4 linked regions of the Diceros bicornis minor genome follow. The protein of the gene in region 1 interacts with the protein of each later gene in a biochemical or structural test. Links are inferred from orthologs where the notes say so. Each region holds a gene or a part of one and is shown in the gene's direction. Other genes may lie near its edges. The genes, in order: FYN, HRAS, ENO1 and FYB1.

Region 1 (7,183 bases):
TGTGAAAATCTTTCCAGAAGAAACAATAAAACTCTTTAAGCTTTTTCCTTCCTTTGCTGCTTTAATTTTCCCTTTTCTCTTCCTCTTCCTCTTCTCTGCCGTTTTTCTTCCCTTTTGAAGAAGACTTGCCGCAGAGGTGGTATCCAGAGAGGCTCCTGGCCAGGGCTGGGAGGGTTGAAGGCCTTCTGCTCCCATCCACCAAATCCCTTATTAATGGACTTTCCTCAATTTTTCATGTTATAAACAATGTTCCAATTACTTGCATCATAGGTATATCTTTGCAAACTTCTTCCATTCTTTCCCAGAAGTAGAATTGCTGGGTCAAAGGTATATACTTTAAGGCTTTTCATAAATGTTATTAAATTGTCTTCCAGAAGGGTTACACTAATTAACACTCCCACTAGTAGAATGTGGGTATCCATTTCCCTACATCCTTTTATGTCTTTGGCCAACTAGGTAGTTGGAAAAACTATATCTTTACATTAATTTTGTTACAAGTGAAGCTGAATCTCTTTTCACATTTACTGGTCATGTGGGGATGTATTTCCTTTACACGTGTTTTTCAACTGGAGTCTTCATCTTTATTTTCTTGTTGATTTTTAAGAACTCTATGTTAAGGATTCTTACCCTTGCCATATGTGGTGTTATTGAATTGACATTTAAGAGAAGATTAAAACTAAAATGTAATAATAAGGCAAGAAAATATTTTAACTCATACAAACAAGGAAAATGTTACATTAAAAGCAAGAGAATAAGAAATTCAGTTGAGACAAAATAAAGAAAGCCCAGATGGAAATAGGAAAATTTAAGGTGAAAGAAATAGAAAAATAAAAATAACCATTACTAGTCAAATCAAAGAGAAATTCTAGAACAATGCCTACCTTCTAATTTGTACATTTAACCTGTCCATAAGAAAATAAAACAAAATTGGGGGGATGTAGAGGACAATATGACTTATCTCAAGGAGTCCAGGGACAGTGTCCTGGATCTTTAATCAAGGTCTCTGTACAGACCTGCATAGCAGATCAAAATGGGGAAGAGTGTCCAAATCTTTCACAGTACTCTGTACACTTGTTCAGACCATTAGCAAATCCTCCCGAGGAGGCCAAATCCATTTAAAGCTACATTTAAGAAGGGCAACAGATAAAAAGGTAAGCAAGGAAAGAATTACAAAAACAGGATGAAGTCTTGATGGGAGCAGGTTAATCTGTCATTTTAATTGCATTGTCTCTTCTTTTTGCCCACTAATTAGATCAAGAAGCTATTAGAGTTACAGACGCTAAAAAGTGACTCCTCTTGAAGAAACCATAAGCAGTGAGGTGCCTTACCTAACCTACTCCAGATATCATGTAAGATAAATTCCGTCTAACACGGAATTCCGAGGAGGTCTATATCTTAAGAGCGGTTTTTCTGAGAGTACATGACAGTTTATCTTTAAAAAGGAGGAAGGCATGCATAAATTGCTTCCATGTCCATTTAGTCTTCACACAAGTAGTGTGAGATCAGTTTTACTATATCTCCATTTTATGTGTGAGAACAGTAAAGTCCAGAAAGGGTAAGAGATTTGCTGCATCAAGGTGCTCTCAACAGTGTGCACTGTGGAGCTGGAATCAGAAACAACTCTAGACCAGTGTTATCCAATAGAAATATAATGTGAGCCACATATGCTATTTTAAATTCTCTAGCTACATTAAAAATTAAAAGAAATAGGTGATTAACTTTAATAATATATTTTAGTTATCACAATACATTGACTGTTATCATCTTAACATGTAATCAACATAAAAGTTAATGAGATGTTTTACATTTCTTTTTTTCATGGTAAATCTTTGAAATCCAATAAATCTTTTGCATTTACAGCCAATCTCAATTTGCACTAGCCACATTTCAAATACTCAACTACATTTCAAGTACTTAATAGCCATGTGTGACTAGTGGCTACTACACTGGACAGCCTGGTTCCAAACCAGTGGTTCTCAAGGTTTTGGTGGTACCCAGACCAGCCGCTTCAGCATCACCTGGGAACTGTTAGAAGTGCAAATTCTTGGGCCCCATCCCAAACCTAATGAATTAGACACTCTGGGGCTGGGGGCCACCAATCAGTGTTTTACAAGTTCCTTCTGGTAATTCCGATACATGCTAAAGTCTGAGAATCATTGCTCTAGACAAGAGCCTTTCCATCTCAATTCAAATAAACTTAGGACAGCCATGGCAGGCTAGTACTGAAGAAGACGACCCCCTTCGCTTGAGATAAACAATTCTTGACTAGATGAAGTTGACATTCTCTTCTATGGAAATCTTCTAGTCCTAGTTGTGGTTCTATTTCTTGGGACTATGTTCATTTATCATTTTGCTTAAGGAGGAAAAAAGCCACAGTAACTACCCTATACTATCACATTGAGTTTTAGTTACTAACTTCTCTTGTCCTCAGTTTCCTCATCCATAAAAATGAGCATCGTTTAATGAATGTTAGCAATTAAAAAAAAAGTACTGTGTGCAAAAATAAAAAAGTCAGCAAAAGTGACTGATATTTTTAAACTACAGTTAAAACAATTAGTTGGCAGGAAAAGTAATATAGATTTTGAGCATAGAAGCAGAAGCCAACTTGCTTATATTTCTCAGAACATTAGGCTTGCTGGGGGAGGAGGGTAGGGTTCGTGCCAAAATCATTAAGGAGAACTAATCTGAGCATGCCTTAAAGCAGAACTTTCAGTAAACAGGAATTACCTATAAAGAAAATCAGGAAGCCAAAGTGTTTCTTTTTATGAAGTTACATCCTGCCATAGAAAAGCTGGATAGGAAATAAAGACTGATGCACTCCCAACTGTATACTAAACTGGCTATTATTTCACTAAGGAAAATCTGAGCAAAAGCTCAGATTCAGTGAAAGGAAGAAACATGAGAAGGCTGAGTGTCATGAGAAACCAATGACAACCAATGGCTACAATTAAACATGATTTTGGAAAAAACTATACAAACAAATCTCTGTTCTATGATTGCAGATTCCTTAGTGGCCGCCTGTCCTCTCCAACTTCTTCCTCCCATTTCAGTAACACTTGCTCCAGACTTTTGCTTGAAAATAATTATATATGTGTGTGTGTGTCCACAAAAATAGGAGACTAGTAAACTAATCCTAATTTTCTCCTCTTCTCCCTCCTCTGCTTTTTCTCTTCCTCCTCCTCCTCCTTATTATTATTAATAATATTAATCGTGCGTTTCCAGGGTTCTCTTAACTTTCCCAGGTTTCTGAGATGGCATTCTACCTTGCTCCGCAATCTTCAGTTTATCAGAGAAAACGTTTTCACCACCCTAACACTTTCCCTATTTCTCCTCCCACTGTCAGACACCAGAAAGGCAAGAGAGCCCTTTCTCGAGGCAGGTTCCCATGGTTTGGGGAGAATGGCAGATGCCTTTCTGCAGTGGCAGCTGCAACCTTCTGCAAAGCAGAAACTGCAGCTCATATTCTCTCCTCCTTCCCTCGCCCGAACCCACTACCTCACAAGTCCATACAATCCTCAAAAACACACACACAACTCCTCCAACCTCGCATCCCCTCTCACACCCTACACGGGCACGCGGGCCAGGATGCCCGCTGCTACAGCAACGCTCAGCCCACTCGGTGGCCCCACCCATTGCAGCCCCGCCCCCGTCCCAGACACCAATGGTCACCGCCCACAGCTCCCGAGGGGCCCGTTGATAGGGCAGCGGGGCCTGCCACTCTCAGGGTGCGTCCCGCCCCCTCCTCACTCTCCGCCGGGCTGGAGGGGCTGGAGCATCAGCGCGAGTAGCTGCGAGCAGCCGCGGCGGCGGCGGCGTGTCGTTGCAGTTGCGCCATCTGTCAGGAGCGGAGCCGGCGGGGAGGGGGCTGCCGCGGGAGAGGAGGAGGGGTCGCCGCGAGCCGGAGGCCGTTGAGACCCGCCCGCCGGCTGGCCGCGGGAGCAGAGGCGAGGCTACCTCGGAGCTCCGCGTCCTCTGCCGTCCCGGCGCGCGGCGCTTCACCGCGCGCACGGAGGGCTCCTCGGGCGCACACAAAGCCGCCGCCCGCGCTGCACCGCCCGGCGGCCGCCGCCCGCGCCAGGGAGGGATCCGGCCGCCGGGCCGGGGACACCCGGCGCCGCCCCTTCGGCGCTCTCGGAAGGCCCACCGGCTCCCGGGCCCGCCGAGGAGCCACTGGAGCCGCCTCAGCCGCGCCGGAGCAGGGCGGGGAGAGGACCATGTGAATGGGCTCCGGAGCCTGAGCGCCGTGCAGGTAAGCGGCCGGGGATGCGTCGCGGGAGGCCTCGGGGATGCTGCGGAGACGCGGGCCGCCGCCCCCGCCGCGGGGCCCCGCGCTGCAGTCTCTGGGCCGCCGCCGCCTCCAGGGCGCCCCGCGGGGCTGCCGGGGAGTTGGCCGCGCTCGGAGTCTTCCCGCGGCCGGGCTGGAGGACACCTCTGCGCGGTGCGGCCCGGAGGTAGCGCAGGGATGGGGACCCATTTCCTCGGCCGCGAGCGGGCGCGGGATGAGAATGGGAATTGGCTTGGGGGCGAGGCTGCCCCAGACTCCGCCCCCGCCCTCCTTTCGGGGCCCCCCGCGGGGACCCGGGCTGTGTGTGTTGTTTTAATGTCAGGGATGATGTAATCACTTAATAATTGATGCCCCGTGCTGCTTCCCTCCCCACCGCACCCCACCCCTGCCCCACTCCTCCACCTCTCGGCCTCCTTCTGCGGCCGTCGCCTTCCCCATTGCATCCTCCTGCCTATTTCTGGCACCTCCCTTGCACTTCCCCCATCCTCCCCTTCACTCTTCCTGTGCCTCCACCCACCCACCCTTCCCCTGTCCCCCGTGCAGGAGCCTTCGCTCCTCTTCCTCTGCCCCCCACCCCTTCTGCTCCCTCAGGCTCCTTTCTCCTCCCTTCCCTGCTCGCTGGATTTCCTCTCTACTTCCCTAGATCGATGACTGTTTTTGTTTGGTCGCCTCCCCTCTCTTATCTCTGCGGCCACAGGCGGAGGGGACTGGGCCAGAAAGAAGCCACCGAGCTTGGGCCCAGGCGGAGATTTGCTGGGACTCAGTGAGAAGAGGGATAATAAAATCACCCTTCTTGCCCCTCCCCCCATAAATCACACAGACTCGCCGTGTGTGTGTGTGTGTGTGTGTGTGTGTGTGTGACACAAAGAGCCCTTTCAGTGCATAGAGAGGAGACACACAAAGTACCCAAGGATGGGCGCTGTGCTTCTTGTTTCTCTTCCCTGCGTTTTCCCTTTCTCTCAGATATAGCAGTTGATCTTCTCTCTCAGAATCTTTCCTGCCACATTTACCAAAAAATAAAAGGCCCCAGATGCGGGGTGGCAGGTGCTGGCATTTTGCTGTATTCATGGACTGGTAGTGTTGACTGGTAGCTGCAGTGTTCCTTAGATTTAAGGGGGAAATGATTCTAGCTGTCATAAGAGTTGCTTTACTTTCAAGGTAGTCTCCACTCCGCCCAGTTTTAACCCCCTCTCCTTTCAGGGATAGATACTAAGAGCTGAGGTAGGGTACATTGGTGTGGGAGCAGAAGAATTTTGTTTCTGAATCAGCGAATTAAATTGGTGTTTGATAGGAGTGAGGCAGCCTGACTCGCTTCTCTCAAGTCTAAGGACTGCTCAAGTCTTTTGAAATGAATTGTCAGCCCAGTGATGTTGTTTTGCCCTTATATTTAAACAAGTTCCTGGGTGCATTGATAATACATCATTAAATTGGTATTTGGAAGACCACTGGAGACGGTTTCTCTTCCCTGCTTCAGGGTAGGCTTCAGACACCCACATCCTTTCCTCTCACCGCTCAAGTGACTGCAATATTTTCCACCCTTTGTGCATTTTTCCCCAGTCCCTGCCCCATGGGTACTCTGCTTTCAGTTAAAGAGACTCATAGATTTTTGGAGGAAGTGATTTGTTAGCCATCTCAGGTTTTAGGGGCACTTAGCTGTGAGCAAACGATATACACGATCTTTTGACTGAACTCTTAAACCATCTGCTTGATGTTCCTCTTAAAGAGGAAATGTTAATGTAATTCTGGGGCCTAATGTTCCATTTTGCAAGCCAGTGACTATTACATGTTTAATCGATAATGTCAAAACTTAGGACAAAGGTTGAAGTCATTGATTCTTAAGAGCGTGGCTCCTTGACTACGATAAGTAGTAATAGAACCGTCTCAAGTTTGTTCTTCAAGAATTTTATTAGAAAAGAGTTGTTATGATTCATTAAACGTTTACTTTTGCACTTTCTAAGGACATTCATCATGGAACATTTTATATTAAAAAAAGCGATAGGGTTGATGAGTGTACTGTAAAAACAAAGGGTTGTTTGTTTGATGCCAGACCCAAGATAGGAAAGTCAGTGCACGATAAACTCATGTTGACCAAGTTAAAGAGACATAATGATAAGGTTGAATGTGAACAAATGCACACTCTGCTTTCTGTACCTTTACCCTATGCTTTCTCTGGGTCTGGAATCTCCAACCCCGTCTGATTTGCTTGGGTCCTATTTAACCTTTAGGGCCCAGCTCAAAAGTCTTCTCTGTGATGCTTTCTCCACCCTTTCCCCTCCAAACAAATTACCATGCCTCTGACTTTGTTTTCCAACTTCAGCAGCAGGCCTTGTTTGGCTTGTGTCTGTTTCCATCATTAGTTGGTCAGCACGTTGAGAGAAGGAACCTGGGCTTATTTATCTTGTTTTCACAAATGTGACTTAGGTCCTTGGTATGTGCTAGGCTCCTAGATTAATGAGGCTAATGTTAGAAGCTGTAACAAATAGGCCTGCAAAAATCTAATGGCTCAAAAGCAAAAGAGGTTTATTATTCCTCATGTAATAGTCCAGAATGGGTATTTCTGGTCAGTGGGTGGCCTTCCTCCATGCAGTGATTCTGGGCCCCATGCTCCACCATCCCATAGCACTCCATTTTAACCAGCTTTCAGCTGGCAGAAGGACAAAAGAGGGAGTGGAGGGGTGCACCCACTTTTTAAATGCCTTGGCCTGGAAATGACACCTGTCACTTCCACTTACATCCTTTACATGAGGGCTAGTTATATGGCCACATTTAACTGCAAGGGAGCCTGGGAAATATAGTTTAGCCATGTGACCAGAAAAAAGGTCAAGAAGAAATGTATTTTTGGCCAGCAGCTTTGCCTTATGCTGCCACTCAACGAGGCACAGTCATTGCCCTCAATGA
Region 2 (7,079 bases), on another chromosome or scaffold:
GAGCTGGCTGGCCTGGAGGTGGCCCATGGCTGTGTGCCTGTCTCTGTCCCCTGGGCTGGTGGCCGGGGCTGTCGAGGAGCTGGTGGGCAGACCCATCCTGATGTGACAGCTCCACACTGGACCAGGGCACTGGGAAGGTGCAGGTGCTGCAGGAGTGGCTGGATGGCCCCACACACAGAGGGGCCAGCAGGGGCATAGGGAGGGGCCTGGCGGGAGTGTTCCATCCACCTGCAGGGACCAGGTGGCTCGGACTCTTCTCCAAAGTGCTCAGGAAGGCGGTTGGGGGTGTTGGTGGGCATGTCACCCCGTGGTCTCCAAGGGACCCCTCTTTGTGTGCATCTCACCTGGTGCAAGCCTGGGTGCACTGGAGGGGCACGGAGGGAGGGCCTGGGGGGTGCCTGCACCCGGTGGGGTCTGCCCCCTCAGGGTGGCCAATGGCGGGCGAGGGGCGTGGCCAGGAAGGGAAAGGCCTCCCACGCTGGGAGGGGCAGGGTTGCCCAGTGGGGTCACAGGGTGGGAAGTGTAGTCAAGGGGGCTCTGCAGAACCTGCTGGGCCTCAGGGTGGGGGTGGGGGGTGACAACGAACCCCCACTCCAGATTTGGGAGAAAGCCTTCACCAGCTGCCCCAGATACTGTCAGTGGGACCCCAGGACGGCCCCCACCTGAACAGCTTGCCCCTCATGCCTGGGCTCCCCTACTCTGCTCGTGGTTTCATCAATTCCCGGCCCTTTGCACCTCCATGTGCCGTGCACCTCGATGGTTTCCACCCCGTCTCCCACCAGAACCTCAGCTGCTCGAACGAGGGGCGTCTTCTCTGGTTCATGGAGTGGTGCACCGAGGGGTCCCCGGAGCCCAGCGCACAGTGGGTGCTCAGCAAACACTTGTGGAATTCCTGCCTGGCTCAGTCCCTTCTGTGGCCTGAATGCCTGGGAGACGTCTGTGTAGCCAAGCCCCTGGGATTGGCCTTGAAGGTGGAGCAGGCGCAGGGGACACAGCAGGGCTGAGAGCATCTGTCAGCCAGGCAAGGCTAGGAGGGCAGGGGACAGAGGGCAGGCTGGACGCCAGTCCCAGAACATCACCCCACACGGGCCCTGCAGTCTGAGCCCCCAGCCCCCAGCACTCACCAGTCGGGCAGGTGCCAGACACTCTTCCACCAGCTGCTCGCTGTGGCCACCCCCATGGCTGCCCGGGGCCTTGCTCTGCGGGCAGGGGTTGTGCAGGCCCTGCCAGCTCAACTCCTGCACGTGGACACTGGCTGTGCTTGGCCGAGGCCCACGGGCTCTGTCCCAGGCCGGGTCCATGCACATTCGACCTGCCAGGATAGGCAGAGGGTAAGGCCGCTCAGCCTTTGCTCTTTCTGACCCCCGCAGAGCCCTCGACACGTCCCAACCCATGGCAAGCTGCCAGAGCCCACCCCCAGGGCCCGGAGAAGGCTCTGGTGGTGCCCTCACCCACTTAGTCTCAGCTGGCCTGGGGGCCTTGCAGTCCCCTCCCTGAGCTTTGGCACACCCTCTGCCTGGGCGAGTCATCCCCCGGTGTTTCTGCCCATCCTTCAGGGTCCATGCGAGGAGTGCTGGCTCCAGGCCTCCCCAGCTGAGGCCCCACGTAGGCTGTGAGCCTGGGGGTGCTGGCTGCAGGTCATGTTTGCGCAGAGGCCTGCTGCCACCAGCAGCAAGCAGCTGCCTCAGGCCCTGTGCTGTGCGTCCTTCTCCACCTGATGGTCTCCGAGCCTGGGGGCCCAGGACCAGGGTCTCAGGCATGCCCCCCACCCCAGCCTTGTGCCCATTGAGCCCCCTCACCTGGAGGGGGCTGCCTTTTCCCACCGTGGGTCAAACATCTGGGCAAGGGGGCGGCATGTGGCCCCAGGTGGCACCTGCAGGAGAGAGTCAGGTTGGCCTCCTGGCCAGGTCACCGTACCCAGGGGACCTGGGACAGGCTGGGCTGAGGTCACAGGGCCCAGAAGTGAGCAAGTGTGAAGGTGGTAGGGGCTCAGGTCCTTTCCACCATCCTGATGGGGGATCTGGCCCGGCTGACCAGGACGACAGCCAGGTGAGTGAACAATGCTGGGGTCCCTCAGGGTCTCTCCATTGCAAATGGTCCTCATTCAAATCCCCCCTTCCTTCCATCCCCGACTCCACCCTCTCTCCAAAAGTGATCCCGGGTCTGCTGCTCTGGACTGTCTCCCACAGGCCGGCCTCCTTGGCACTCTGTCCCTACTGAGTCCCCTGACCCTAGGCCCCAGAGAAGGTTGTCCAGTGTGTCCCCGGACCACCTGCACCAGGCTCACCTGGCGTAGCTCCTTAAAGATGCAGACGCCTGTGCCTGGCCCCTGATCCTGGAGTCATCGCTGGGGGTAGAGCCAGAAGTCTGCCCGGCACGTCCTGGCCACCTCCCTCCATCCTGGGTGGAGGCCTTACTGACCCCACTTCTGCACTCTCCCGCCCTTCCCGGATTTTCTTTCCTGCTAAGATTGACCCCTTCTACAACCCTCGTGTTTTACGACTCATTCAGTTGAGTGAGTGCCTCGCCCCGGGACAATGTGGGCTTGTGGACAGGATGCTCCCTTGCCGTGTCCACAGTGGGCAGATGAAAGGCTCTGAAATACTCTGGAGGAATCCGTGAAGGCGGCAGGTGCACCTTCTGGCCACCACTTTCATCTCTCAGCCCCCTGTGGACATTCAAGGTTCATCCTCTCCATCATGTCTAGAGACCCCACCCCCCACGGCCAGGGGAGTGGTCAGCTGGGTTTTGACAGAGGCGGTGGGAGAGGGTGCTGGGCCCTGGGACAAGCTGCCCAGGCTCCGTGTGCCTCAGTGGCCTTGTCCGGAGAGTGACCCATACACTGAAGATCCAATGGGGTGAAGGCCGTGAGGTGGCTCCCAGTGTAGAGCCTCTTAGAGTTTCCAGCAGGATTTCTTTCCAAAAGTTCCCTCTGCTGCCTGCCTTTCTCCAGTTGGTGAAGGGCCCCAAGCCTCGCAGGAGGACCCCATCGCCCTGCCCCCTGGGAAGATGCTGCCCACCCCACGCTGCCAGCCTCAGGCTATGGGGAGGGTGTGGGCCAGCCAGGGTGCGGCCCTGGGACACCCCTGGGCAGTATAAGGGCCGAGTCTGCTGCCCTCTTCCCTCTGTGCCCCCAGAGAGCAGCTGACAGAGGTTCACCCATGTACCGGCCCACTCAAGCCTGAAGGTCTTGGTGTCCCAGGAACAGGGCCTGGGTTGGAGGCTGTGGCTCCCATCTAGACACCGTCCCTGCACGTTCATGCACTGGGCGGAACCTGTCCACTCTGTTCATGGCTCTGCTCCCACCCTGCCCTGCCCCTCCATGAGTCCCCCAAGCCCCCCAGCATGGAAACCTGGGGGCCTCTCTGTCTCCACAGCCTCTGGCCCCGCTCATGGACTCTCTGGGTCCCCTCCACCCCTCCATCCCTTCACCACGGTGGGGAGGGCCTGCTCCCCTCCTAGGTCCTCACCAAGGAACCCCCAGAGCAGAGTCTGGAACCCTGCTCCTCTCTCCCCCAGAGGCAGGGCTTGGGGCCCTTCCTGTCCTGGTAACTGGGAGCCCCGAAGAGCCCGGCCGGGGAGCGTGGGCAGAGTCCCCGGGGGACGAGATTTGACATCTGGGGGCCTCACTGAGTCCCCACTGGCTTTGCTGCTTCATCCCCGCTCCCGCCCCTCGGCCTCAGTTTCTCCTCCTGCACGGGGGAGATAGCGAGTCCTGCAGCCCGAGCCCCAAGATGCCCTGGGCTCTCACCTGAGGGGTCGGCCCCGGTGCCCAGCCCTGGGCGCCCTCCGCCGCTGGCGGGCGCTCTCCGACTCCGGGTGTTCTTCCGGCCGCGGGGTTGCGGGGCCTGGCGCCATGACAACGGGGGCGGGGCTTTATTTGAATAATCAAATATTCATACACCGCGGGAATCTCGCAGGCCCCGTGGGGCCGAGCCACGCCTCTTAGCAACGGTTGCTAGGGCAGGCCGGCGGGGGCGGGGCAGCGGCGCAGGGTTGGGGACTCCGGCGGGTGCGGCCCCGCACGCGCGTGGGCGCCCGGCCAGCTGGGAGGGAAGCTGGGGCGGAGGTGAGACGCCATCAAGCCGGGGGGCGCAGACAGGCCAGGTGTCAGCCCCCTGCAAAAGTGGTCTGGGGTGGAGACGCGCGCCCGCCTTTCGCAGGTGGGAGGCGCCCGTGTGAGGGTCTTCCCGGAGGCCCTCGCCCTCCTGCGCCGGTGTGAGGGTCTTCCCGGAGGCCCAGGCCCTGCGCGATTTACCTCCGCCTGCAAGTGTAGCCGATGCCACGACAAGAGGAAGCGCCGTAGGAGAGGATCCTCTGCGGACGAGGGAAGTGCGAAGCTGGACACCTGGAGAGGAGTCCTGAGTGTCCGCACCCGCAAGGAACGCCATCACCCGTTTTCATTTATCCGCCTTTACTTCGTGTCTACGCGCGTGTCTACGCGCGAGCCGGGCTCTGTTGTAGCCGCGGTGCAGGGCGCGGGACGGCCAACAGGACACAGCCACGGCCCGTGGGGTCGGCGCCGTCGTGGGAGCGAGGGCGGCCCACAAGGGGCCCGCCAAGGTCACGGTCAGCAGTGGGGTGAGCTCCAGGGGACAGCACCGAGCCGGCGGGGGAGAGGATGGTGATGGGAGGGGGTGCTGGCCGAGGACAGGGAGGTTCAGCCTTCTGTGTAATGCACCATTCTTTCTTGTAAACAAGGAGGGTGTGTTTATGCGTTACTTTGGAATTTTTTAAAATGTCAAGAACATATCTTTTCGAGAGTCTTGAAAGGAGACAGGACGTGCATGTTTGTGCTTGGGGTGGGGGGAGACTCCAGGTCACCCCCCATGGCAACTTTTGGATTGGCTTTGCTGGGTACCGTTTGTTAACTGGGCCAGACGGTGAGCTTCTGCAGGGTTGGAACCCCCGGGTTTGGGGGGGAGCTGGGTGGGCCGGTAGTCTGCTGGGCCTGCCCAAGTCGGGGGAGGCTTGTGGTGAGGGGGTGCTGGAAAAAGGCTCTCCTCGGAGCCTGGGCGGGGCTGCGCGCTGGGTATGTGAGAAGCAAGACGCGGGCACGGGGTAAAAAGATGGAGTCAGACTCGCTGATCCACGGGCTCAGACGCACCCACTCAGACGCGGCGCCCCCGCACCGCCGGGCCCTGGGCGCACGGCTGGGCCGCAACGAAGGACCCCCCCCGAGGCTGCCAGGCGCCCTGGGGGAGATGGCGTCCGTCTCGGAGCCACCTGCGGGGAAGGGGATGCAGGGCAGCCAGGTCCCCAGCCACTGGGGGTCCCAGAATTCCAGCGCGGTTCGGGCCTGCTTCTGGCACCAGACCCTCGTCCCTGAGGCCCCCTGCCTTCCTCCACCTCAAGCCCGGGGGCGTGCGCGGTGCTAGGCCTGTGGGGTCCACCCAGCCTGTCCCTCCCGCTCCGGGCCCCCGTGGGTGGGCGGCAGGGCGCGGCGCGGGGCAGGCCTCGGGGGGCGCGGGAGCGCCTGCGCGTCAGCGAGGTGCCGAGGAGCCCGGCGCGGGGCTCCCGGAGCAGCGCAGGGGCTCGAGGCTGACCCCGGCGACCCCGCCCAAGTCCACACCTGGCCGCAGACCCGCTTCTGCGTGGGGTCTCTATCTCCCCGCGAGTCCGGCCTGCTCCCAGGAAAGTCCAGGCCATCCCCGGAGAAGCGGTCACCCCCGGCTTGCAACCCCAGGCCCCTCACTCGCCTCCGGCGCCGACCGAGCTATCCCCCAAGGCCGCGGCCCACGAGGGCCACCCGGCCGGGCACCGCCCTCAGCGCCGCTCCCGGAAGCCCCGCCCGGCCGCGGCCCTTGACGGGCGGGCCGCTCGGCCAACCGGAGCAGAGCGCGGCAGGGCGGGGCGAATTTTGGGCGGAGACCGCCGCGCGCGGCCAATGGCAGGCTGCGCCGGGCTGACGGACGGGCGCGGGGCGGGGCGTGCGCGGGCCCAACCGAGAGTCCTCCGCCCGCGACCGCCGCCCGCAGCCCGCGCCGCACCCGCCGCGGCGTGACCCCATGCGCCGGGCGAGCGGCGAGCCCCGGCTCCGGGGGCAGTCGCGCCCGTGAGCGGTGAGTGCGGCGGGGGCTGCGGGGCTGCGGCGCTGGGCGCTGGAGTTGGGGCGGGGGGCCAGGCGGGGCCGGGCGGGGTGGGGAGCCCGCTGTCCTGACCGGGCGCGCGGGGGCGCAGGTGGGCCGCGGCGGCGGCGGCGGCGGGGGTGCTGGGCGTGCCGGCGGCGGGTTCCCCCTGCCTGGCCCAGATCAGCTCCTGGGCGCCGTGTCCCCGGCCCTGTCCTCCATGGGGCCCTCGGGATGTGTGGGGGCCCTGAGCTGAGGCCGGCCTAGGGCCAGGGCGCTACGCCGGGTCTCCCGCCCGCCAGAGGCCCCAGGACCCTTCGGAACACCTCTTTACCCGGTGGCCATCACGCACACTAGGCGAGTCTGGGTTTAGGAAGTCACTGCCCACTGTCCCCTCAAGGGCACCCTCTCGTTAAACATCACAAACTGAGGACACCCCAGCTGGGGGCCTGGGTCCCAGGCCTTTCTTCTTCCTCACCTGTCCCCCGGCTCCCACACCTGCTGTGGGTCTTTCCTGTTGGTCAGCTTCTGCTTATGGGAACGCTGGCCCCCACCTGGCCTCTTTAGCTACCTTATTTTCTCCAAAGTTTTTATGGCCATAGAATGCCCCTGGGGTCTCCTTCATTTTAACGTGTGTGGGTCTCCTCCTCCTTGGGATGGAGGTTGAGCCCAGGAGGGCAGGGGTTCCTTCTGTCTGCCTGTCACCTCGTGCCTGGAACAGCACCTGGCATGCAGTAGGTGCCCAGTGAATACTTGTCGAATGCACCAGCATGCCCAGTGGGGCCTGGAGCCCGGTGTTGGCTGGCACTGGCCTGCCTGGGCACGCTGCTGTGCGCTCCACGGTGACAAGACCTGTTCTAGTAGGGAGGGGGACTGGTAACCTCAACCGCGGGCGCCTCCACTCAGGCTTTCTGCCTACCCAGCAGCTTCTAATTTGGGTGCGTGGTTGGGAGATGCTCTCGGCTGTCACCCTGCTTTTGGGGGTCAGCTCCCTGCCTCTCCCACACGGTC
Region 3 (7,550 bases), on another chromosome or scaffold:
TTAACTGTGGTCCACGCAAAGCCTCTGCAAAAACCCTACTCTCAGTGAATCACAAGGGGCCAGTGCCTTCTGAAAGGAGAACTTGGCTCTTGCTTTTCCATCTGGAGCTCACGCACTGTGTCATCTGACGGCTCCTTCCTTCCAGTGACCCGCATTTTGCAGTGGGGCCATCGCAGGGTCCTGCACTCCTGCTCTAGCAGTGCTGCCGGCCTAGCGGACAGGCAGGGGGAGCCCTCTCTTGGCTGCAGATCAGGGTTTCTTGGGCCCACGGCTGCAGCCGCCCTGGTCCTCTTCAAATGACAACCATAAGAACTGTGAGACAGAATGGGTGGGAACAGACAGAGATGAAAAGAAAACTGCTCTGGGGACCTACTGCCCCTGCTATTTTAGAGACATCAGTGCCTTCCAGGCCTCCATTCTAGCATTCAGTAATGACTCCCAAACTGATGATAGGAGCCACCTGGGGTGTTACAGCTCAAGACTGCCTCCTGGGGTTGGTATTATTGCACCCATTTCAAAGATAAATGAGCTCAGGCACAAGAGGATCCACGCAGAGCTCTTTGACACAAGATACAGACTCTTTCCTCTGATTTTCTCCTGTTGGTTCAGAGCCCCACTCAGTCTCCACTTGGCTCCCTCATTCATTAGCTCCTCCAAGGAGATCTCTGCTCGCTGGGTGCCTGCTCCTTGCTTCCCTGACTTCCTTGGGTTTTTTTTTTCTTTAATCCCCCTACTACTTACTCCTCCCATTTGGGCACCCCTGATACATGCCCTTCTAGCAATGACTTTGTTTAAAAACCATACTGTGCTGCCTCCCTTCTGTCTTCCCAAACGTGTGCCTTGCCCAATCCCTACTTCCTGACTTTGTGAGGTCAGCTTTGAAGATGGCGGGGAGGGGGCTGTTGACAGTGGGAGGCCCTAAGAGGTGCCCTCAAAGCCATCATAAAGGCACAATGCTGACTGCAGTTTACAGAGAGGACACGTGGGTTTCTTTAAGTGAAGGACTTGGTGGTAAATTGAGAAGCCATCAAATTTCTAGAAAAAAATGCAAGGGAAGAGCTGAATTTGATTTTTTTTTTAATTAATTAATTTTTCTCCCCCAAAGCCCCAGTAGATAGTTGTATGTCATAGCTGCACATCCTTCTAGTTGCTGTATGTGGGACACGGCCTCAGCATGGCCGGAGAAGCAGTGTCTCGGTGCACAACCGGGATCCGAACCCGGGCCGCCAGCAGCAGAGCACGCGCACTTAACCGCTAAGCCACGGGGCCAGCCCTGAATTTGATTCTTTTTAAAGCTGGGTCAGAACTCATATAGGCTGCTGGGGGAAGCGCATAGAGGTACAGATACTTTAGAAAACAAAGTTGAGGGCCGGCCCCGTGGCTTAGCGGTTAGGTGCGCGGGCTCCGCTGCTGGCGGCCCGGGTTCAGATCCTGGGCGCGCACCGATGCACTGCTTCTCCGGCCATGCTGGGGCCGCGTCCCACATGCGGCAACTGGAAGCATGTGCAGCTGTGACATACAACTATCTACTGGGGCTTCGGGGGAAAAAATAAAAAATTAAAAAATTAAAAAAAAAAAAAGAAAACAAAGTTGAAGATGTTTATACCCATGACCTAGAAATTCCACATCTAGGTGTATGATTTAGGTATATGCCTTAGAGAAACTCTTGCCTGTGCTCAGAAGACATTTGCAACAAAGTTCATAGCAGCATTGTTGGTAACAAGAAAAAAAGAACCAGGAAACAATCCAAATGTATACTGACAGGAAAACGTGTGATATTCACACAATGGAATACTATATAGCACTGAAAACCAACCATCCACAGCTAGAGGGATGGAGCTCACAAATGTCAAGTTGAGCAAAAAAAAGAATTCTAGCAAAAGGCTACAAACAACATGATGCCATTTATACAAAGTTCAAAATTTGTATTTAAAAACCATAAAGAAAAGCAAGGGAATAATAAACACAAAATTTAGGGTAGTGATCACCTCTGTGGCCTAAGAATACACAAGGGACCTTACTGGCATTGCCAGTGTCCCATTTCTTAAGCTGGTGGTGGGTACACGGACGTTCATTTATTATTCTTTACACCAGATACACTTTATGTAGTCTTTGGCATATGTGAAATGATGACAGACAAACACAAACCTCACGATCACAAGGAGGGGCCATCCACCTGCATCCCCTGAGGGCCTTCGGCTCTCAGAGGATCTCTTTCCTCCCTTGGGCCACTTATTCAACCCTGAAGTTTCCTATCTGGCTAGAGACCCACCTTCCAAAGAGGCATGTCACTTTTTCAGTCGACCAGCAGTTTTCAACCAGGGGTGCACATCCCACAGACAGAATCTGTAACCCAGGCGGGTCAGAGGATGCTGCAGATTCTCCTTCCCTCAACCCTGGTGCCCACCTGCAAATGTGTTGCAGGCGCTACCTGCAGTGCTTCCCCAGGTGGTCTTCTGATAGTAGCCTTGGACACTCACTTCCTCTTCCTGCCCACCAGCAAGGCAAGTGCCTTTGGTATGCCACTGCGGTGAAATTGCTCAACAATTGTACTGTGAGTGACAAATAATAACAAAACAGCTGTAACAAGGTAAATGCCCCTGCACTGGAGTGCAGGCAAATGTGAGCCCCACACCTGTTAACAAAGCCTCAGGAGCTGTGGAGACAGGAAAAGCATTTGGCAGCCTGTGGATTTGGGGAAAGACCTGAGGGCATCTCTACCAATCATTAACATTTGAGCTACAATTTGAGGTCAAAGTGCGCAGAACACTGTGCTGTGGCCTCCCAGAATCTTGCGACAGCAGCTGTCTGAGATCATGTTCTGCATCTGATTTCCTGCTCGATTCACTGGTTCTGGCCAGAGAGCAGTTAGAAGAGTCGTGTCTTTCTATCTTTATCTCTCTAACCCTTTTAATGTAAAATAAAAGAGATTGTTTTGGAGCCCTTTCAGGGCCACGCCTTAGAATTGCTCTGAAAATAAGAGCTCTAAGTGTCTGATTTCTGTAAAGTTCTTAAGGTTTAGGAAATGTTGGCTGTTGGTTTAGCTGCTGAGTCATGGGGCTGGGATCTTGGTTTTAAGCAGTCTGAAACATTAGCATCTTGCTGGTGAAATCATCAACTCTGCTTGCAAAATTCATCTAATTCTTCAGTGAAATATTTTACAATTTCCTTATTGCTTTTTTGCTGAATTTAATCCTAAAGTTCCTGCTTCTTAGTCAACGGAGAACAAATACCGTGGGCTCAACAGACCATCACCTTTACCCAAGGCCTTGGAAACCTAAGCCAGTAGGTGGGGAGATAAAAATGCCAGGAGGGAAGGAAGAAAAACAGTTTTTGCAGCTAGCCAGAAGAAATAGGAATTAAATTCAAATACACATTTGAATCTCTCTATGCAAGGCAATGTGGAAAATATGGAGATGTAAAACAATGTCTGACACTGTTTTAGCTCTCAGACTTACAGACCAAGACGAATGCTGAGAAATATAACTGTCATAGAAATGGAAGCGATCGGGGGATGTGCTGCAGGACTGATTTTAAATGAGTATCAACTCCTGAACAGAAAGGTAAATCACTGCAGCCGCCCCTTCCTGGTTTTCATTTGCCAGACTACCATGGAATATTATCTGGTTTGAACTTTGAGAAATCTCCCGGGTCTGTGTGAAATTCCTGTCCAAATCATTATACACGATGGTTCACATGCATCCAGGCACATCTGATCTACCCCGGGGGCAAAGCGAGGGATATTAAGCCTCCTTGCAAAAAGCAACATTAACAAGAGCTATTGAATGAATTAACTCTGGGGCGCACGTGGAGATGTGCCTGGCACGCAGGCCGCGCTCAAAAAGTATTAGCTGTAACTAAAGGAAAGTGAACTGCCTCTCAGCCACCTGGCTCTCATGTCTGACCGGCGCACAAGGACAAAGGGTCGGGGTCACCTCGGCGGGCGGCCGGGGGCGCGGCGGGGCGCAGCGCGCAGGCGCGGGAAGGCGCACGTGGCCCCCAGCACGCGGCTCTGCGGCCCGGGAGCGGGGTCGCGGCGCGCGGCCGCCAACGTCTCTAGGCCGACGGGGTCTCCGGCACCACGCTGCGGGGCAGGGGGGCGAAGGGCCGGCAGGGCGGGCCGCGAAGGTCGTCACCAAGGTCGTGGGCCGGGCGTGCGCCGGCGGAGCGACGCTGTGTGCGTGCAAGACTCGGAGTACGTGACGAAGCCCCGAGCCCTCATGCCGGCCGGGCCAGCCCGCCCCGCCCCCGGGCCCCGGCGCCGCAGACGCTGCTTGGCCAGGGAGTCCCCGCGGGGAGGGGGCTCGCCCGCACCCCCACACAGCCGCGGTGCAGTAGGTGCCCCCCAGCCCCGCCCCATCCCCCCAGGTCATCGTCCCCCCGTCCCCGCCGCCGTGACGGCCATAGGCGAGGCCCTGAGTGACGGCGCGGGGAGCCAATGGCGAGGCGTCGCGCAGGGGGCGGGAAGTGGGCGGGGTCTCCCGAGCTGGGCAGGAAGTCGGGAGGGGCGGCGCGGAGACGAGCTCAGGGGACTGGGAGCGCGCAGGCCTTTTGGCTTAACGCTTCTCTCGGTGTCTGCAGCACTCTCTGCTTCTTCCCGGGCGCGACATCCGGCGGCTAGGTGAGTGCTCGGGGAAGGGCTGCCGAGCCCGCACCCAGGCAGGCGGCGCGGGGTCCTCTGGGGGTTCCTGCTCCCCGGACGGCGTGCCCGGAGCTTCGGCGGGGACGTGGAAGGGGCGGGCCGGCGCGTGCGAGCCGAGTCCCCGGCCGGAGTCGCGCACCCCGGCCCGAGGCGGGGCGCGGCGCCTGCTTTTCCCGGAGGGGAGGGTGCTGCTCAACAAGTGACTACGGAGTTGCAGGGCCGCGTAACTGTGCTGGGAGGTCAGGACCAGAAGGCGCAGGCCACTTAAGAGAGCAGGCGTGGAGAGGGGAAGGTTCTGGGGAGCAGTCCAGGCCTGACCCCGGTGCTCATGCAAGCCAGGCCCTCCCTAAAGTCGAGGCAGGGGCAGGGAAAGGAGAGATGCCCAGGAAGCTGCTGCTCCGACATGGGCAGTGGCTACAACTCCAGAAGATGCTTACTCTTGAGTGGCTGCAGCTGAGCCAGGGGATCGCTGGGAAGCGGTCCAGGCGACCTCGCCCTGGTCGGGCACGAGCTGCTCCCGGCGCCCCTGGCTGGCCGCCAGCAGTCGGCCCCTGATCTGACCTAAAAAAGGTGTACTTTGAGGAAACTTCCTGTTCACCTCTCTCTCTGCAGCGTGGTCTGGGCTGTGTGGCCCGTCGGTTGACTTGCCTCCAGGGCACACCTAGGCCCGGGCCGCCCGGTCCACTCATGCTGCTCGTGGTCCGGGGTTCCGTCCAGACACACAAAAAGCGGTGAAGCCGTGTGGTCAGACCAGCCTCTCCCTGACCCTTAATGACTTCGGAGAATAGTTTTTCTATCCAATATAAAGATCAGTTGGATTTTATTTTCACATCATGAAATAAGTTAATTACTTTGTCTTATGTCACTAAAATGAGATAAAAGATGAGTTCCTATAGCTGTATGCTGAGGTAGTGTAATCAAGATGCGCTTTAAAGCGCATCTGAAATCCATCAAGTACAGTTGGTTTGGGGCGGGGGAGGTTGACTGGAAACTGGCTGAGGGGACTTCTTGGGGTGACAAATGTGTTACACAGGTATATAATTTGCCAAAACTCAAAGGTAACTAAAATTAAAAAACACGTTTGACTGAATTTGCCTTTTTGTAAGATAGTAGATAAAAACTAGATATTTTTTTATTGGCTAATGAATAAAACTCCATTGTTACATAGAAAATAAAGCCACAAAAGTGACTTCAGCATCTAATTTTGAAACTTAAAAAGAAAAAAAAATGATGCCATTTTCTGCTTCAGAACATTCCAGAGAAGATATTGGGGGGGAGCCCAGTTAGATAATGGCTTCTGAACACTAATTCAATTCCTCTCATCCACTTCAGTCCTACACGTTGTTCAATTCATTTCTTCCTTGGAGAGCCGGTGGGAGAAGGAAGGAAAAGGCCTTTCTTTGAGAATTTGCTGTTTGCACTTTGTAGCTGCAAACCTTTTTTTTTTTTTTTTTTTTTTTTTTTGAGATGTTTTCAAAGGAAGCTTCTTTCCTTGGAGTATTTTCAAAAATAGAATCTTTCCTCTAGTTACAAATCATGACATTTCATAGTTGAGTTTTTTAATGGAGTAAAATGCCCTTTGAAAGAAATACTAATTAGATGTCATTATTAACGTGTCCTGTCTTGCTAAAGACTCAAGTACTGTGCGGTTGGAAAGCCCTGGAAATTGGCAGTGGCAAAGATCACAGTGCACAGACCAAGGAGCTCACTCCTGGCCTCCAAACTGAAAATTTCTAATTATCTAATATCTACCAGTTGAACATCCTACTGCTACCTCAAGTTTAACTTGATGAATTATGTCCCCATCTTTTAATTCACTATTTCACTACAAACCAAATTTTCCTCCTGGTTCCCTCCCCACCCCACCTTTTTTATCTTAGATGGGTTTGCCTGGGACCTTCATGTCCCCTTGGTCTTTTTCCATTGCCATGCCAACCCTCATTGTTAACTAATGACAATAACCGGTTTTCAGACTGCCTCCTCTTCAGCCATTCTGTATGCCATCAACACGTTAATCTTTCCCGTTGTATTTGATTGCTCCCCAGTACAGTCATATATGTTCAGGCTTTGCTTATAGGACGAGACCTGAACTGCTGGGGATTAAGGCCTTGTAGAGCTGGGCCCAACCTACTTTTTTAGGAGCAATTCCTCCTGCTTTCCAGCAGGCCCTCTCCCACTCTAGTTAGCCTTCCTACATCCAGTATTTAGTCCAATGCAGATTCTTTCAAGTCTAGGAGTTCTCAGAAGTGATGCCTTGAATGAATGAGCTGAGGCTGCATTATGGTTTGTGGAAAATATGATCTGTGTTTCCCCACAGAAATTCGCCATGTCTATCCTCAAGATCCATGCCAGAGAGATCTTCGACTCTCGTGGGAATCCCACTGTTGAGGTTGATCTCTGTACCTCAAAAGGTATGTGCCACCTTTGTTACTATAGTTCCTTCCACCACATGCCATTTTTTTAAAACTTTTTAAAAATGACGGCCTTAGGCAAAGAAAAGTCTTACTGTAAAAGCCTTTCTTTCTGATCGGCACATGCTGGTAGGTTGTGCTTCCTGGCTGGGGGAGTGTGGGGGTGCTGTAGGGCATGGGAGTCCTTATCTTGCTGCTTCTTGGTATTTAAAACAAGCCAGGTTGGCTCCTAGGTCAGTGAGGTAGGGGAGTAAGGCGATACCTTGTCCCTAAAAGGGCCCATCACTGGTTTGCTTCACAGCTTGCTGTGACCAGTTAAGCTGATATGGTGTGATAGGATGGATCTTTCTCTCTTGAAAAGGAAAGAGATAAGCAAGTGCGAGTGTAATTATAGCACTCTTATCTTTGTTTCCAGGAATCACTCTTAAACCAGGGATCTGGGATAGTTCTTACCTTTGGGTGTTGGGACGTTCCAGAGGCTCTTATTTCTACCTGGC
Region 4 (8,014 bases), on another chromosome or scaffold:
TATCATTAACAAATTGTCAAGAGTAATGACCAATCCAATGAGATTGTGTGTTTTTTGTTTTGCTTTGTTTTGTTTTTTGGTGAGGAAGATTCACCCTGAGCTAGCATCCATGCCACTCGTCCTCTAGATTTTAGTATGTGGCTGTCAGCATAGCATAGCTGCTGACAGAATGGTGTAGGTCCATGCCTGGGAACTGAACCCAGGCTGCTGAAGCAGAGGGCACTAAATTTAACCACTAGGCCACCGGGGCTGGCCCTGAGGGTGTGTATTTTGATGATATCAGTTAAATCTCATTGTCTTGGACACCCAGTGAGATAGAAGTATTATAACTTGAATTCTGCTTCTGAGAAGAATATACAAGGACTGAAGAGGTGGGAAGCCATGGGAAGAGAATAGCAAAAGCCGTAAGAAGAAAATATCAAGACTCAGCAGACTCCTGGAAAGCCTTATGAGTCCCCCAAAACCCAAGAGAGGGTAAGATACAAATTACAGCCAAAATAGCAAAAGAAAGTGATAAATAAATGGCAAGCAGTAGGATATATTGGAGCAAATGAGGAAGCCATTTGGTGTCAAACTAATTTGGCCTGAGCTCGTTTTTCCAAAAGGGCCTGTGGCCTTTGAACTTGCATTGCATATCTGCTTTAAGCAATTAACATGTCCCCAAAACGAGAACAAATGCCCTTAAGATAATGATGCAACTTCTCCCACATTAGCCTTTCCTTAAGGTTAAGCATTTCTCCCTAGGCTAGGATTTGATTGCTGTGCTCAGCCTGTGACCACCCAACTTGAGACAGCAGACCTGCTATCTGCTGTGTCCATCAATCGCTGTGCCAGCAGGGCAATCTCATGACTATCATAAAAGGGATGGTGCAATCATATATGATATATGCTCTTTGATGGTATATAACTGCTCTGTACACTTGGGGAAGGAAGGCTCCAGGTTATATGGTCCTCAAATTTGGCTTATAATAAGCTCACCCCAATTTTGATTTATAGATTGATTATTGATTATTTGCATTGACAAAAATAATAGGTAAATTAATATATAACATAGAATTCTTCTATAAGCTTTGTTCTTTGTCTCTTTGCTCTTCAAGTTAATTGGACTGATAAAAGACTCCTTAAGTGAAGTTTAGATTCTTTCTTCATTGTCCTATTTCAGCAGTTCTTTTAGAGTTTAGTAAACATTTGCCTGGGGTTGGGTTTAAATTGTAAAGACAATTGTTCCTCACCCTTCTTGAGTTTAGATACAATTTACTCATCCCATAGAAATACAGTGTGAACTCTCCTTTTAGTGGAATTTTTTACTGAAGTTGATTAAAGTTACTTCTTCCTGAGCACTGAGGTTCTGAAAGGGTTAAGGCCTCCTTCCATCAAAAATAAAAATTACAAGAGTGAAAAAAAATCTATTTTGTTTTCAAAACAAAAAGTGAAAGAGAAATAAGCCAAATCCAGGAACTGCCCATTTCCTCCCACATGACCTTTTCAAGCATGCCTGTTCTTATCCTGCTTTCTTCCTGCTACTTTCCATTTGGCTGTTCCATATCTATCCAAGCAGGGAGAATAGAATTTCCTTGAATTTCTATGAATCTATTTTGTGAGTTTGAGTTGATCTTGGCTGGCACAGTTCAAATGCATGTTGATAAAAAGAGACAAGTTGACAAAATAATAAAGTTTTAGCTGACCCGTTTCCTAGTCTGGAAACTTCAGGCGTCACTTAATATTTCTGCTTTCATTTCATCATCGCAGAACAGCAATGTGGTGGCCATATCCTAGTGTTTGACAATATTATAGCCAAGAGTTCTCCTACAGCTTCCCATAAATGATGGGCTTCAAGGGAGGCTGTACACTTGCGGAATTTGTATGCAAATCGTATCTGCTTTCATCAGATTTTGAAAGGAACTCATGAGCCAAAAAAAATTTAAAAAAATAAAAGCTGCTTTAGGATCTTAGAGTGACAGAAGAAAATATGAAAATTAATTTGAACTGGAGGAATTTCAAATCTAGTTAAGGAGACAAACCTAATGCAGCCGATACAACGGGAGAACCATAAAAGGCAAGCATATCAAAGAACTTCATTTCAGTTGTTCAGTCTGCAGGAGTCCAGAAAAATGGGGAGATGAGTGAGCAAGCAGCAGAGAAGGCTTCCTGGAAGAGGTGAGACTCAACATCCCCTCTGTTCTCCTATCTCACGGATCTTGTCCTGGCGTGTTAGTATTGGGCACATAAAGTAGCTGATGATTTGCTTCTTCCCTAAAATGTTAACCATTCAGGTTATGAAGCTGAAATTGTGTAAGAGTTTATAAGTATTTCTAACTCTCTATGCTAACAATTTTAACCATGCTCCTTTTAATGCCTGATAGATAAAACACTGACAATGCTTTTAAATAATGATCAGTAAGTAATGTTACTTAACTTTTTATTTGTTCTATCTCCTATCTTCTTGTAAATCAACTTAAAAAAAAAAGGAAGCTGGTTTTTGTAAGCTACTCAGTATCTCTGGGCCTCACAGTCATCACCTAGTTGTCACCTTCAATGAACATCAGAGGGGCAGACTCATTGCCTAAACAAAAGCAGTGTTCTAGAATGCAAATTTATAAAAAGAAAATGCATGCCCAAGTATTTAAAGAATTCTAACCACTTTAGCATTCTCTGAGCTACTTCTCCCACCCACTAGCAGAAATAATTGCAGCGCCCATACCACAAAAATATAACTTTATCTTCTTTAGATGGTATCACTATATTGTCTGTCATCTTTATTGCATTTCCTGTTTCATTATCCTGCTCAAGGACTGATGTACTTAGTTGGCTTCACAGGAAATGTACTCACATATGTGATATTTGAAATATATTTTTTTAAAAGTAAAGTGATTATGCTCCAAAAAATAAAAATAAAAACTTGTTGGTGGATTATGAGTTATGGTTGGAAGCTTCAGTCCTTACTTGTTTTTTCTTAGCCAAAAATACTTCTCTTAAATATATGTTTTTGAGAGACTGCTGAATTTATGTCAATAATAACTAAAAATTACCTTAATCTGCATTTAGAAATAAGCACAAATTGAAACAGAATTCAAATGAATGAATAGAAATTCGAAGTTCTCTTAACCAGAGACTTGTCCAATTGTCTACATTGGTAATAGAAATTGCTAGATTTCTATTTATCATGTAATTTTTGTCCAACTGGACAAAATTTACAGAGAGAAAATCATTGAAAGACCAAGAATAAGTAATTATTATGTAGTGCATGGTGAAAATATGTTGTTAAACTTAGTAGTAATGATGTCAGAGCATCAGGATGATTTGTCCCTGCAAGGCTTGCCTGGTGATCTGTTTACTGTCTCCGTAGTACGAGTCACCTGCTCCTCCTTTTAGAGCCCAAGCTTGCCTGCCCCTTGGAATTACCTGGGAAACTTTGAAATGTACTGACGCCTGGGTCTCACACCTAGAGATTTTGATTTAAAGGTCTGGGATAAAGACTGGGAACTGGGATTTTTAAAAGCTTCCTAGGTGATTTTAATGTGCAGCCAAGCTGAGAACCACCACTCTAGCCCCTAAACTGTACCTGCACTGTGATAATCTCTGCCCCAGCAGATAGTGGATAAGAGGCTTTCTGGCTAAGCTAAAGAATGTCTCCATTCCAAGGACTTCTTCCGGCAAGTGTTTTAAATCTAAAAGCATGTCTGGTTGCCGTACCCGCCTTGCCTTGATCATCCTCCCCCATTCATTCCTTAAGCGTTTACTATGTGCCAGATCCCACGCAATTTCAGATTCCTCATGACCCACCTGGCTCCTGATTGCTCCTCAAGCCCATCCCTCTTTCAAATGCCTACAGGTCTCAAAGAATTATCAGGTTCCTTTCCACCACTGGAACATGCCCCCTGCTCTGTCTTCCTGCCTTGTCCTGGCAATGATTCTACCCATATCTCTAATCACATCTTGATTTTGAAAAACATTTTCATTTTAAAGAATGAATAATAAGGAACATCATTTTTAGTAAAGGATTTTGTATTATTACAGTGGTAATTAGCATCAGCTCGGCATCAAGCGAAGAAATTTGGTGCCCCTCTACTAGGTAAAGGCAGTAGTCCTTACAAGATCTAGAAATTTGCAACCCCAAAATAAGGAATCAGTTGCCTTTCCTTTGCAATAGGAAAGAAAGATGATTTTCTGCCCTTGAAATTACTTTAGTATCAGGCCATATATTCAAAATAAAGGAGATAATTCCGTGTACCAGAATATGTTCAAAGAGGTACTACGGATGATTGGTGTGAAATCTGACTACTGGGGATCAAATACCATGCCCTTAATATCTCCTTCATCAATGTGAGAGACTGAGGCATCTGATGCTAACAAATATTACCAAAAAGTTAATTGACATGTACTTTATATTTTCAATGAAGTGAATGACATCCTATCATAAGCTTATGAATATTGCCACTATTTAAATGTTGATGAGATAGATTTAAATACATTTGGAATTGTTGATTAAAATTATCATGATCCTTCTGTTCATTTTAAGATTATAGTGATGTTTTTAACAAGTACTATGTACTTAAAATAGAAAAGTCAAAAAGTCAGCAAAGTACAAAACAAGAATTATTTGTAATAATATCTCCATCCAAGTCAACCACTGTTAACATTTTAGAATGGGTCCTTCATTCATAGATAGATAGATAGATAGATAGATAGATAGATAGAAGATAGGTCCACAAATACCGATTTTGTAGAAAACAGGTTAATAACGCACATAGAATTTAATATCCAGGCACTTTTTAAAAAATTGTGTTAATCTTGCAGACTTCAAAGCATCACCTGTACCTGTTCTCATATGATTAAAGTGTGATAACTGGATAAACCTGGCCAGGTATACAAATGCTCTGCGGGCTGAGATAATATGCAAATAATCCTTACATATCAATGTGTGAAAGCTGGACAGACCACACAGTTCAAAAAAGGAAGTACGCTCTGCAAAACTAACTTGCACATTCACTGTCCGAGTTACAGCATCTTCGAGGTCGCTGTGTGCCAGGCATATCAACTCTTTTCAAAAAAAATGGTAAGTAATAGATTTTATGACTTTCCCTGGTCTGGCAAACATCTAACCTTCTCTACACGGAGCAGAGAGGGGTGGGGGGTGCTACACTGCCAGGTCCTCCCAGCGTTTGGAATTTTTCTTCTTCCCATTGTTCCATTTGCTAATGAAGCTGCTGAGTCTATCACAGCAGTTGCAAGACTATGGCTTCAGGAGTTCCCTTTTTTGTTCGAAGCCTTCAGAACTGAGGAAGAGCTATGCCTTAGAGAAAGAAAAGTTGTATTCTTTGTCTTTGCCTCTTGAGATAACTGGATGCCAGAACCAGCAGTCAAGTTTCCTGTTCCGAGCACTTTGGATCCCAGAAGAGAACTCCAGTGATATACGTGGGGCAGTATTGCTGATGATGAGAGCCATTTTGACAACACAGTACATTTTACAAAGGAGCTCTTTTGTTTAAAAAATTCATTTCATTATTTTAATTAAGAGAAGCAAACAAAGCCCAAATAGTCCAAACCTTAAGGACGGGTTGTGTTCCCAAAGTTAATTGAAAGTCATTATCTGGAGCACACTTAAAATAGTGACTGGTTTCCCAGTTCCCATAAAAACTAGCTTAACTCATAATGTAGCTGAACTACAGTGTTAATATTCTGCTACACAATTTCATATTCTTTCTCTGTAGAAACTGGCTGTGTTCTTCTACATGCAGTGTTCTTATGCTCCCAGAGTCTAGAAGAGAGCCAACTTTTATCTCCCACACTCCCTCCCCCACTCCCCAGCCCCTAGAAGACTGGAGACGGGTTATCCTTTCTCTCCTTGTAGAGAGGATTACTTCCTTTGCCAGTTCCCAGTGAGAAGATAGCATTGAGACAATGACTCCTACAGGGACTCAGTGGGGGAGGGTGTGTGTTGCAGACAGTGGAATCGAGAGGGCAAAGGATTCATGGGATGTGTTTGTAGTCTGGAAGCTCTTAAACCAGAATGGGGAAAGTGTAGAGGTGAGGATAACCTTGCCATGGGGGAGAGAGGGAGAAGGGGGAGAGATGGGGTCAGAGTTGCAGAGTCACAGGGGAGAGGAATGCACAGTGGTGGAGGAAATTGTAGCACATGACCCTTCCTGTAGCCACATCTGTAAGAGGAAGGCAGCCATCTGTTAAGGTGGGACTTACAAGTCCCTCTAGTGTCTCCAAACTGGGTCTTTAGGTCCAGAATTCTTAGCAAACAGCTTGACCTTAATTACTGATATCATCTTCAAAAGTAAACAAGGGCACTGTGGTTTACAAAGAGTTATTTGGATTTTCTTAAGGAAAATGAGATGATCATAGCAGAAAAAAAAAGTTTAACTGAATAGGGTATGTTTGGTAATACGTAAGCAATGTTTTCTTAAGAGCTCGTCATCTTGTTATAAAACTAGCACATATTATTAAAGAAAATTTCTTAAAAATATAGATATGCAGAAACAAAACAATACACATTTTCTATAGTTCCATCACCTAGGGGGCAATCATTGTTAATACAGATCCTTCTAGAATTTCATCATTTTTAAGTATATTTTATAAATATAATTTTCTATAAGTGCTATCATACTTTATAAACCATTTCCTTATCTGATTTTTTATGTAAAACATTTTGAATAATATATGAGTTAGATATCATTTCTAATGATAAGTCATTCTTAATGACTATGTAGTTTTTCCATAATTTAATTTAATCAGTTCCATATAGTTAGACATTTAGGTTTCATATTTTATTTTTCTTTCTGTATGGTACTACGACAAGACTGTCACAAGCGTTCTTTTATATACAGTGCCTGATTATTTTCCATTGACAGAACTACTAGGAGAAGAGCTAAGTGAAAAATACATCTATTTAAGATTTTAAACACAGATATCCTCTTGTTAAACAATATATTTCAAGTTTACTTACTATATAGTGGCATGGTAAGTGAATTTCCCAGTTGCAATTATGTATATACATGCTTATCTTTGTAGCATGTCCAAGTTATACTTAAAGAGGAAGCAGATTTCCCTTAATTTTTCTCTCCCCAGCATTGCTTCTGACATTTCTATGACAGGTTGTGAAAGGCATGTAGCATATTAAGAAAGGTGTTTTCTCCTTGAAAGGCTTCATAGCACAGTCAAAAGGCCATGTGCCTGGCTCCTTAGGCTTTGCTTACCAGTTGTATGTTTTTTTCACAAGTCCCTTAAGCTCTGAGTTTGTTTCCTTATCCAATAGTGGTGACATGATGATGATGCTGATAGTTACTGTGGAACAGTGTCGTTGTAGAGGGTAAATAAGATTGCAATTATAAAGTACCTACTATAGTGCAGGCACCAACCGGATACTGGATAAATATTGGTGTCCGTCGTTCTAGTCCTCAAAAAATAATTTCCTAAGGAGGCATAGAGACTTCCAGTGAACACAGGAGGAGAATGATAATGGCAGTTAACATTTGTGAGCCCTGACATACACTGTCTCGTTTAGTCCCCATAACAACCCTTACGAATCGTGACTGCTCTTATTCCTATTTTCTCGCTGAGTACACTGAGTCTTGGAAACGGTTAAGTCACTTGCTCACAGTCACACAACTATTAAATATTGGGACTGGAATTTGAGCACAACTCTGTCTGATCTCAGAGCCTGAACTTTTCTACCTTATGCTGCATCTGAGAAAAAGTAGGTACAGAGGAAGACAACAGCGTAGTCCAAGAAAAGCCCAGGCCTGGCTTTTAGGAGTACGAGGGGCCTTTCCTCAGGCTGGTGCCCGTCCCTGTTGGATTTGGGAATCAGCTGCGTAGCTGCTTCTGCTACTGCCACTATGAATTGTCCTATTTTTAGAATGCTCACTTTATTGAAATCTTCTAGAAGCCACTGGGATGGGAGGCTGGAGGAGTTCCTGGCTTTGAAGTTCTCTACCCCAGGGTTCAGAAAGAGGGACTAAATGATCAAATGGCTCCCCCCTCCCCCAAGCTCACCTGCTGTGTT

What was found.
Region 2: the proteins of FYN (region 1) and HRAS form a complex in vitro, tested with the Homo sapiens proteins (2 studies listed by BioGRID and IntAct). The link is inferred for Diceros bicornis minor from reciprocal best matches to the Homo sapiens genes FYN and HRAS.
Region 3: of the proteins of FYN (region 1) and ENO1, one has a biochemical effect on the other in vitro, tested with the Homo sapiens proteins (2 studies listed by BioGRID). The link is inferred for Diceros bicornis minor from reciprocal best matches to the Homo sapiens genes FYN and ENO1.
Region 4: the proteins of FYN (region 1) and FYB1 form a complex in vitro, tested with the Homo sapiens proteins (2 studies listed by BioGRID and IntAct). The link is inferred for Diceros bicornis minor from reciprocal best matches to the Homo sapiens genes FYN and FYB1.

What each region holds. Positions count from the first base shown.
Region 1 is NC_080762.1:23,592,143-23,599,325, forward strand, and holds the start of FYN (tyrosine-protein kinase Fyn), read left to right. Parts: upstream 1-4,176; 5' UTR 4,177-4,249; intron 4,250-7,183. UniProt on the Homo sapiens protein: Non-receptor tyrosine-protein kinase that plays a role in many biological processes including regulation of cell growth and survival, cell adhesion, integrin-mediated signaling, cytoskeletal remodeling, cell motility, immune response and axon guidance.
Region 2 is NC_080770.1:1,447,769-1,454,847, forward strand, and holds the start of HRAS (GTPase HRas), read left to right. Parts: upstream 1-4,062; 5' UTR 4,063-4,581; intron 4,582-5,993; exon of another isoform or gene 5,994-6,062; intron 6,063-7,079. Other genes in the region: LRRC56 (leucine-rich repeat-containing protein 56), read right to left, coding at 1,125-1,307. UniProt on the Homo sapiens protein: Involved in the activation of Ras protein signal transduction. Ras proteins bind GDP/GTP and possess intrinsic GTPase activity.
Region 3 is NC_080752.1:28,557,642-28,565,191, reverse strand, and holds the start of ENO1 (alpha-enolase), read left to right. Parts: upstream 1-4,541; 5' UTR 4,542-4,621; intron 4,622-6,959; 5' UTR 6,960-6,968; coding exon 6,969-7,053; intron 7,054-7,550. UniProt on the Homo sapiens protein: Glycolytic enzyme the catalyzes the conversion of 2-phosphoglycerate to phosphoenolpyruvate. In addition to glycolysis, involved in various processes such as growth control, hypoxia tolerance and allergic responses.
Region 4 is NC_080759.1:30,291,626-30,299,639, forward strand, and holds the start of FYB1 (FYN-binding protein 1), read left to right. Parts: upstream 1-4,999; 5' UTR 5,000-5,053; coding exon 5,054-5,056; intron 5,057-8,014. UniProt on the Homo sapiens protein: Acts as an adapter protein of the FYN and LCP2 signaling cascades in T-cells. May play a role in linking T-cell signaling to remodeling of the actin cytoskeleton. Modulates the expression of IL2. Involved in platelet activation.